Linked DNA regions of Drosophila melanogaster. The protein of the gene in region 3 interacts with the protein of the main gene of each other region in a pairwise test. Each region holds a gene or a part of one and is shown on either strand. Other genes may lie near its edges. The genes, in order: Cyp6t3, CG42597 and Obp18a.

Evidence for each region.
Region 1: the proteins of Obp18a (region 3) and Cyp6t3 interact in a two-hybrid assay, tested with the Drosophila melanogaster proteins (one large-scale study listed by BioGRID).
Region 2: the proteins of Obp18a (region 3) and CG42597 interact in a two-hybrid assay, tested with the Drosophila melanogaster proteins (one large-scale study listed by BioGRID).

The regions. Positions count from the first base shown.
Region 1 is NT_033778.4:12,188,951-12,192,986, reverse strand, and holds Cyp6t3 (cytochrome P450 6t3), read right to left. Parts: upstream 2,306-4,036; 5' UTR 2,301-2,305; coding exon 1,077-2,300; intron 1,016-1,076; coding exon 734-1,015; 3' UTR 551-733; downstream 1-550. Other genes in the region: CG8858 (uncharacterized protein), read left to right, coding at 1-414; Cyp6g2 (cytochrome P450 6g2), read left to right, coding at 2,625-3,896, 3,948-4,036. UniProt on the Drosophila melanogaster protein: May be involved in the metabolism of insect hormones and in the breakdown of synthetic insecticides.
Region 2 is NT_033779.5:22,064,042-22,066,981, reverse strand, and holds CG42597 (uncharacterized protein), read left to right. Parts: upstream 1-1,638; 5' UTR 1,639-1,721; intron 1,722-1,785; 5' UTR 1,786-1,788; coding exon 1,789-2,289; 3' UTR 2,290-2,378; downstream 2,379-2,940.
Region 3 is NC_004354.4:19,134,561-19,137,867, reverse strand, and holds Obp18a (Odorant-binding protein 18a), read left to right. Parts: upstream 1-1,999; 5' UTR 2,000-2,024; coding exon 2,025-2,075; intron 2,076-2,129; coding exon 2,130-2,465; 3' UTR 2,466-2,787; downstream 2,788-3,307.

The DNA.
Region 1 (4,036 bases), on a different chromosome or scaffold from region 3:
GTCAGTCTGCTGGCAGCACTCACTAAGTACATCGAAAGACTTCATGTCTTTGATGAGTCTGCTCAAGTGCCGGATTTGACTCAGATAAACCAGGAGAAGAAGATCAAGACAGAGGAGACGGCGCCAAAAACCCGAGAGGCCATTGTCGAGAAGATATGCACAGATGTTTTGGCTGCAGTTGCTCTTGCCGCTGGAGTTCCTCATTCCGGTTTGAAAAAGGAGGCGCTCAACATCGTTCTTATGCTGATCAAGCGGCTGAGCGGAAGCGGAAACGGAAACCAGCAGCCACTGAGGTTGATCAAGCAGAGCTTTGAATCGAATTTGGAAAAGTTCCAGCGCGATTCGGCGCCGGAAATCCGGTGTCGCATCAAGGACATCGAAGACAAGCTAAGCAAGTTGAATCCACAGAATTAAGTCATATTAATATAAGCATTTCAAGGATGTGTGTGTGGCCAAAAAATCTGCCTTGGGTAGATTTTATAAAAGGGGGTAAGCGTTAAAAGAAAACATCTAACTTTGGCAAAAATGAATAAGTAACTTGCATGAAGATAATTTTCTATTGTGATTCATTGATCCAGGAGTGTAAGGAAACCTTAAATATACTATCATAAATACTTTCAGTTTCGTTTTAAGTTCAAATTTTAGGGAGCTATTTAGATTATCTATTCTATTTAGATTATAGGAACAAAGGTGATTACATATCACAGCCGATTGTTTTAGGATGCCTATAACTCTACAAACTACTCCTGCAGAATCTTAGGTATATCTCATTCTCAGACTCCAACATGAAGGACTTTGGATTAAAGCGAATCTCCGATACTGTTCGCTCGCAAGTCTCAACCCAATATTGCTTTAAAATGTGCACTATGCCCAGTTTCAATTGGAGTACGCCCAGGCGACTACCAATACAGCCATGTGGACCTGCTCCAAAGGGTATGTAGGTCATCGGGTGGATGTGCCTAGATCGCTCCGGACCGAATCTCTCGGGATCAAAGACGCAGGGCTCCGGCCAAAACTGGAATTTAGATTGACATAAGTAAGTTGGGATAATCATCACCTTTGGTTTTAAATCTAACCCTTTCATCGCGATGGAGGCCGAGTATTGAGATGTATGCTGGCATCCCTGGTGGCACTATGAAATCCACATGCGGTTGCAGTGAGAATCCCTCGGATGCCGAACTGGTGCACTCTCTGTTGACGAAAGCAGCAGCCGGATAGAGACGCAGTGCCTCCAAACACACCATTTTGAGATAGGGCAAAGTCATCAGTGTGTCATAGCTTAGGGTAGCAGTGGAGATGAAGGCTTCTCGTAGCTCACTCCTCAGTCGTTCTTGAATATCCGGAGCCTTGGCCAACTCATAGAGAGTGAATCCCATCAGGGCTGAGGAGGTTTCAAATCCGGCCAGCAGTATGATACCCGCCTGCGAAGCAACAAAGTCCGGATGCTGGGAATAGTGGTTGGATGAGCGGCTCAACTGAAAGTGCTGCAATTGATTGATGAGATCTCCTTTGGTGGGCTCGTGATGATCATCTACCAAGTGCCTCATATAGCGCGCATAGTCTTCGGTAAAAACTTTGGGCTTCAGCACACCCGTCCACTTGGGCAGAAAGAATACACTCATGAAGTCCAAAACCTTGCGGGGATTGGTGTTAAATAGCTCCTTGGTTTTTGTTATCAACTCGGATCGACCACGACGCAATCCGCCGACATTCAGGCTGTAGAAGAGATTCCCCGTCACGTCGGTGGTGTACAACTGGCACATTCTTCCCAACGGGAGAACGCGCTCCAGCCGATCCCCCAGCTTCCTGTTGAGGTACTGCTCCAAGTCGCTGGCCACATCCAACATTTGGCTGTACATGACATCCCGCATACGGCCGCTGGTGAAGAGCTGGGACATGCATTGCCGACTCTCCTTCCAGTGATGGTACTTAGCCAGCGGTAGCGTCAGTGCACCCATGGGATCTCCGGCGTCCGCCGATTCGAACCGGTTGAGAAAGTTGTTGAAATTCTTAATCAACACCTGGCGGATTAGCTCCGGATCCCGAACCATAAGCGCCGGCGTTTGGAATATGAAGAAGCCAACGATCTTCGCCTGACCATTTCGTGGATCTGCGTAGAGCTGCCGAAAGAGATCGCCAAAAGAAATGCGCAGAAATAGAAGTTGTCCCAAATTGCCCATTGGTGACCAAGAGGAGGGTGGCAGGTGCGGAATCCCACGGCTCCTGAAGTAATCGTACTTGTGCCTTAACCAAAAATTCAGAGTCACAATGGTGAGCAACAGCAGCCAGATGAGCAGCATGGTGTCTATAAGATATAAGATAGAATATTATAACTATGAAATATATACCAGCATTAGGTAAAGATAGCTAAGATCCAAAAAGTCGTTCTTTTGAATGAGGAGGAGACCTTGTTCACGACCGTCAAGAAATGCATTTCCATATGCATAAGTTGAACCTGACCCACTTAACATCTCGACAAGCACTTCCATTCACAAATAGATTCATTCATTGCACTCAGGATCATCTTGATGATCTCATAGTAGAGTTTCCGCTTACCCAAAGCTTTAACTCTATGGTGCTGGCAATATTTCAGCCAGTTGGACATTGGGTTTGGTGGCGTTAGCATGGAACTGGTACTGCTGATCCTCGTGGCATCCCTAATAGGGATTGCCTTTCTGGCGCTGCAGCAGCATTACTCCTATTGGCGGCGAATGGGAGTACGCGAAATCAGGCCCAAATGGATAGTGGGCAACCTGATGGGACTGCTCAACATGCGAATGAGTCCCGCGGAGTTCATATCGCAATTGTATAACCATCCCGATGCGGAGAACGAACCCTTCGTGGGCATCCATGTGTTCCACAAGCCGGCGCTGCTTTTGAGAGACCCCGAAATGGTGAGAAATATCCTGGTCAAGGACTTCGCTGGCTTCTCCAACCGGTACTCGAGCTCCGACCCCAAGGGCGACCCTTTGGGATCCCAGAACATATTCTTCCTGAAGAATCCCGCCTGGAAGGAGGTACGTTTGAAGCTATCGCCCTTCTTCACCGGCAATCGACTGAAGCAGATGTTTCCCCTGATCGAGGAGGTGGGCGCCAGCTTGGATGCCCATCTCCGCCAGCAGCCGCTGCACAACGAGCGGATGCGCTGCTTCGACTTGGAGGCCAAGGAGCTGTGTGCTCTCTACACCACGGATGTGATAGCCACGGTAGCGTACGGAGTGAGTGCCAACAGTTTCACGGATCCGAAGTGCGAGTTCCGCCGCCATGGACGTTCTGTGTTCGAGTTCAACCTGCTGCGTGCCGCGGAGTTCACTCTAGTGTTTTTCCTGCCCCACCTGGTCCCGTTCGTTAGATTCAAGGTGGTGCCGGCGGAGGCCACTCGTTTTCTGCGCAAGACCATCAACTATGTGATGTCGGAGCGGGAAAAATCCGGACAGAAGCGCAACGATCTCATCGACATTCTCATTGAGTTCCGTAGGAGCACGCAGCTGGCGAAGGCATCGGGTATCAAGGATCAATTTGTGTTCGAGGGCGACATCCTGGTCGCCCAGGCGGTACTCTTCTTCACCGCCGGCTTTGAGTCCTCCTCCTCGACCATGGCGTTCGCGATGTACGAGTTGGCCAAGGATACGGACGTACAGCAGCGCCTGCGGGAGGAGATCAAGGATGCACTGGTCGAAAGTGGAGGTCAGGTGACGCTGAAGATGATCGAGTCACTGGAGTTCATGCAAATGATTCTGCTGGAGGTGCTGCGCATGTATCCGCCACTGCCGTTTTTGGATCGCGAGTGCACTTCTGGGAGGGATTACTCGCTGGCTCCGTTCCACAAAAAGTTCGTGGTGCCCAAGGGCATGCCCGTTTATATACCCTGCTATGCCCTGCACATGGATCCCCAGGTGGGTTGAGATACATTTTGCATACATTACCCAACGACTACCCTTTTCCAGTACTTTCCTCAACCGCGAAAATTTCTGCCTGAAAGATTCTCGCCCGAGAATCGCAAGCTCCACACGCCCTACACCTACATGCCCTTCGG
Region 2 (2,940 bases), on a different chromosome or scaffold from region 3:
GTCCTTACTGTCCTGATGCAGAGCAATAGTTTCGTAGATGGAGTAGACTTTTCCAACATTTAGCCGCACAAAGGATCCAATCACAGCCTCCGCGAAAATAGGTTTACCCAGTAAGTTCTTTATGTCGTTCCGTTTTAACACTGCTCGACTCAGCTGTTCCAGGTTGGATACGCGTTCATCGCTTTCAACGTTCGTTTGCGGATCGTTTTGGGCTGTATTCTCGCTCTCACTGTTAGGCGAGGAATCGCCGGAATAAGTCTCTTTGACCTCGATATTTACATCCTTACGCGTTTGTGCCTTGCAATCATCACTAGACTTCGTCTGCTCTGCACTGTCTTCGGAACATTTTCCCTTGCTCAATTTAATGGTGCGAATTGCCAATAATCGCTCAAAAGCATGTGCTGTTTTGCCACCAGACTCCAGTTTATTTGCGATCTTACGTCTTGTCCGTAAGCGCTCAACCATTTTTTTATACTTTTACTCTACGAATATCGGGTATAAAAAGTTTAATTGTAAATTCGATGAATTATTCAAAAATGCGAATCATAGGTAGGCCTCAGCAGGAATCATATTTATATGAACTTTTTTTTAATACTAAAACTACCGGATATTCAACTGGCAGTTTTTGTAATATTACAAATATGTTAAATTCTCGCAGCTGTTCAGTGTTCCTCATTCAATTTGCTTCGCTCGACATCGGCAAATATGAGTTTTGATATTGGAATTTTTGGTGGCGGCTGTTCAATAAGCACAAAAAACCGTAATAAGCTAGAATCCACGACAGGTGACTGAGTTAGCAGGAGAAAAAAAATATGCGCACACAAAAGCGAACCATTTTGTGTGGGTCTGGCGAGCAGTACGCGTATTCTTATTTGGCTAAATGACAAAACTTCATCAAAGTGAGCTTACGACTTCCTTGCTTTGATAAAAATTCCAATTTCTTTTTAGTGATGTTGGCTTTTGGCCGGACTTCCATTGGATATCTAATTGGAATTTAAAATGGCGGCACAATTAAATGGTACTGCTATATAAATAATTCTACAGCAATTGTTTGCAAGAAACACTAATTTAAGTAAAATGCAAATGATTTCCGGTATTAGGAGCACGGAGTGGAGCCAGAAGTGGTGCTCCGCATTCGAGGTGAGTGCGTTGGGGATGTATCTTCTGGATATTGCATGAGATTCGTATCCCCTCCACCTAAGTTTTCAATTGCGATTCAGTTTCGTTTCCATGTTGCAACTATAGCAACGACGACGACGTCATACGATTAACGTGAGCTGCATATTTTCGGCTAATTTTCTAATTAAAATGATATTTATGCATTTTTTAGCTGACAGAATTAAACATTCAGTGCCAAAGCCAATTTTTACAGGCAAAGTGAACAATGAAGCACGTACTAACCTCTCGCATAAAGATATTGACATTACATATTACAAAAGATAAGGGAGTAGGTATAATCCGTTTTAAAAGGTAGTGGTAAAGGTAAGGTAGACTTCATAAAAATCAATCAATTTTTTATCTGCTTTAGTCTTCCACGAGTTCAGCTGGTTTTCAACTTTGAAGTCCCTAAAGTTTTCATTTAACTTGCCAACGCAATACAGGAATTATTCTCCGACCCAGCAAGCATTTTAAATTGAAACAAACAAAACAATGTGTTTTGTTTTTTTTACCTTATTCATTCTAAATTTGTGTAACTTATACATATTTACAAGACCGCGCAGGCAAGTCACTTCTAACGTCTATATACAGGCAATACCCGATAGTTAACCAATATCCCTTTCTAAGGAAATGACCAGTCCCACGCCTGTTCTATTGGCCTTCGTTGTGCACATGGTGCTCCACACAACGCTCTTCATACATCTAGATCCGGGTATAATTGCAGACACCCCCGTCTTTGGTAGCCAGTTATTCTATTTATCAGTGATGGATCTGCTGTGCGACACAGAGGTAATACCCACGCACTGGAGTAACATTCCGCGGTGGGGAAAGTTTATCCTTGAGACCATTATCGCCATCCTTATTGGCGAAACTTTGATGGTGGGCGTATGGCTTTCCATGGAAACGCTTCTCGTCAACTTTATAAATGTTATAACCAATTGGTTGGGCCTGGGCAGCCGTACAAACACTAATTTCCAGGAGATCGGCACGATTTTATTGGGAGTTATCTTTTTAGTGATAGTGGGTGCCATTACAAATCGACCGGCCAAAGTTTGGAAAATGGCACAACAGTCTTGGAGAATCATCACACAACAAAGTCGTCCTTCGTCCAAACAGAAATCTTTTAAATAAGCAAAAGGACCCACATCGTTTTCGGTTCCTTCTATTAATTTGGGATACCATTTCTAGTTTATGTGCACTTTTTTATTAAAAGGGTGCTCAAAAAAAAAAAATTGGTTATCTCTAATTTCAAGTACCCATCTCTTTGTTCTTTTAACAGTGAAATAGTCAAATATAGTCTTTGATATCTATGCACCCCAATGCTTAATGAAGCTCGATATTCACAAAAGGATGCGATGCACCTTTGTAAATGTTAGCATACGACCTTTACTTAAGAAGAACAACAGGTTTTTCTAATGTCTCGATTCGAAGCCATAGGGCAATTAAATATGTCACGGGTGGGAGCGGAAACTTGTAAGACATTTAACTGTTTGGGCGCGCTTAAATGGAATCTGAGTGAAATAATTACCGTTGGAGAAAATGATTTCGAACAAATCATGTCTTACGGTTATTATACAAAAGGACATCCGTGATCCCTTAGGCAAGAAAATTCGAGAAACATAAGCTGCAGTTGCGCTAAAGGTGTGGGTGTAATTAGTAACATTTGTGCCACCAAACAATTAACATAGAAAGTGGCTCGAACTCTGTGAAGAACACATGTGCGATTGACTCTCTCTTGGGCCATTATGTAATAAAAAGCGCTACTTATGTTTACTTAATGTA
Region 3 (3,307 bases):
TCGCAAGAGTAAAAAAAAATTGTATTTTACATTGTTGCCTGCCTGATTCTAGCTATGGCTTCACGGGCCATATTGGGTTAACAGGGCATAATAGTATATGCTCCGTTTTACAATATTTCTTACAATTTTTCTTATCTATATATATTTTATATTTACTTTATATTTATATATATTTATTATTATATTCTGCTGTTGATGATGCTCATCAGGTGTCAGCTGGGCGTCGCCGGGGGTGGCACGCTGACACTCCCTCGCTGCTGTCTATTTCTTCGCCGCTGAAGACGTCGATGGTCGCTCACAAGTCCCCAGGCAGTGGGGACTCCAGATTCCTTCGCAGCCAGGGGGGCAGGACTTCTTTGGTTTTGTTAATGCTGGTGCTGGTGCTGGACATGCCTGGTATTTTGGAACTTCATTAATTGTGGGTATATTTTTAATATTATCTGAGTGAGTTTTCTCGAGCTTATGGGTCTTTAATTCTTGCTGATATTGCAACAAGTGGTCTAGCTCTGCATGTAGCTTTAGAGCTTTCGACCAAACCGGTGGCGTTTGCTGACCGTATATTAGCCACCTTACGTGGGCTATACGTTTATTCAGCTTAGTTTTCAAACCGCCACGGTGTTTGCCCATACTCAATAGAACTCTACTCACTCAGATTTTTCCTTGGTTTTTGCAGTTCCATTTAATTAGTCCAGTCTTCTTCCAGTCCAGTGTTCCTTTGTTCCTTTGTTTTCACCAGCTTTGGTCAATTCGTCCAGCGTTGGACGACTGTCACGGTCGCCATGTAATGATGAACTCCAATTCAGAACACAAGTCCGTTTTAAGTTGAAGGCAGCCGTCGGGCTGACATATATTTATTCAATTTCTTCTTTTGATTTTAGAGTAGGCAGAAATGGTTCTGTCAGCTCAACGTCTACAGAGTCTCTCTGATTTTACAGTTTTTAATATATTTGGACTTAGGCTAATCCGCGTAGCTGCGCTGCCGGGTACGCCAGCAGCGGAGCGGCGTTCTTATGTATATCTTATATATCTAGGCTTATCGGGAGAGCGAGATATGTATGTACGTATGTAATATGTATTTGGTCGGCGTGTGAATGCTGACCATGCACTTATACTTTTTGCCTTCGAGTGGGTGATCATGTTACATCCGCCCTGGCCTAACTGCGTGCATAAACATAAACATAAACATAGCAACAAAGTGCTGCCATAAGTTAATATGCTATTTTATTTAATTGTTCTTAATATTGCATAGGCACATACTACAGTTTAACATAAGAATACTTTTTTTTTTTGTTGTCAGCTTTAAATGTACGTGTTTTATTGCTAATTTTAATGTTCTAATTACTTTATTTATTCATTGGAAATGGGAATTCGCATAGACGAGCCCATCACGAAAATACTTACCAAAAAAGACAGTAGACTAAGTTTATACTAAAGATAATTAGGGGAAACCGCAAGAAAACAAAGAAAAAAAAAATGCAAAACGATAAACATTGTGGCGGTACAGTGAGCACTGCCTGCGGCCAACCTAAAAACATGACGAAATATTTTTTTTTTTTTTACATCGTGTATAAGATGTGATATTCGCTGCAAATCGCAAAGCGTGAATATAATTTGTATTTATACCTATATTAATGAACCATATAAAATATACGAATAAAGTCCAATACAGTAGATAGGCTACACATATGTTTTTTGTTTAAACTTCAGAGATGCTTGGAGTGTAAAAGCCAAAAATTGTATGTTTTCTATCTTAATAAATATGAAGAAAACCAAGTTGGTAATTTACTATTGGCAATTGTAATGCAGATATTGCGCATACGACATACGTGTAGCTCATAATCGGGAACTGCGCTTAAAATTTCAATTATAGACTTTATTTGTTGGTGTGTGGCGAATGTAAAGTAGCATCCAATTATTTAATTAAAATCTCCTGTCTACTTTTGAGCTGAATTAGCAAATCGATGGGTTATATATATAGAGCTGTGATGATGCGCTCATTGTTAGTTGGGAAACAGATTTTCGCCATGAAGGTTGTGTGCAGCATAGCTGTACTATGGATTTGCTTGATAACTATGGTCAGTTCTTAACGAAATAGTTATGTGTCCATCTAACAATACCATCTATTCTAGTGGCAATCAGCTGGCCGCGTTAACGCAGAGGGTTGCCTAAAGCACCACAATCTGACCAGTGCCCAAGTGCAGGCAGTGGCTCCATCCACTCCCGTTGCGGATGTTCCAGTGGCCGTTAAGTGCTATAGCCGGTGTCTGATCCAGGATTATTTCGGTGATGATGGGAAAATCGATCTGCAGAAGGTGGGAAAGCGAGGATCTCAAGAGGACCACGTGATTTTGTCCCAGTGTAAGCAGCAGTTCGATGGCGTCACCAATCTGGACACGTGCGACTATCCATACCTGATTCTCCAGTGTTATTTTAAGGGCAAGCAGAGTGGAACTATCGCCTCGTAATTTACCAAATAAACAAAAAATAAAGTATACATATATACATTACTACATACATATATGTACACACACATGACAGACACAATGGGCTTCATCACAGTTCATTGTTGAGTCTTCTAATCAGATCAAACGCCCTCTAATGGAAATTACACACGATTGTGCTTAGTATAAGTGTGATTTTCATTATTATTATTTGTATACAGTGATTAATAATTGTATTAGAGCAAAATAGTAGACATGCATTGTTTTAAACTCGTCTGCTTTTTATTGATTTGTTTTATGCAAAGTAACGTAGAACTGGTGGAAATACATAATGCAATAATAAGTCAATCAGAGTCTTTATTTTCCGAAAATTCGCAAGAAACATGGCCAAATAAATAACAGAAAATTTCAGTTTGCTGACCAAATATGTATGTATGCATGTACATATGTACATATATGGGTGGACTGGGAAGCCAAACACAAAATTTTCCCCCTGCTTGAATAATATTTGAAATGGCAGATATGGAAGATGCAATTTGAACATAATTGAAATGCAAATCGCAGACTGTGAACTGCAGAACCGACTTGATGGGGCGGATGTGTGGACGTAATAATGAATCCCAGTCGACCCCACAGGATGCAGGGCAAATTTCAATTTTCCCAGCAAATCATACGTAAAGTTTGGCCAAATACATTTTGGGCCAAGAGGGCCAAAAAGGGCCAGAAGGATGTCAATGCAATCAGTGAGGCATTTGACTTGGCCTTTCATTAACTCGACTCAGCGCAGTCGAGTGCAAAGGACACAGTACATAGTACACAGGACGAAAGACGCAGGACGCAGGACGCAGGACATGGCACACGAACTC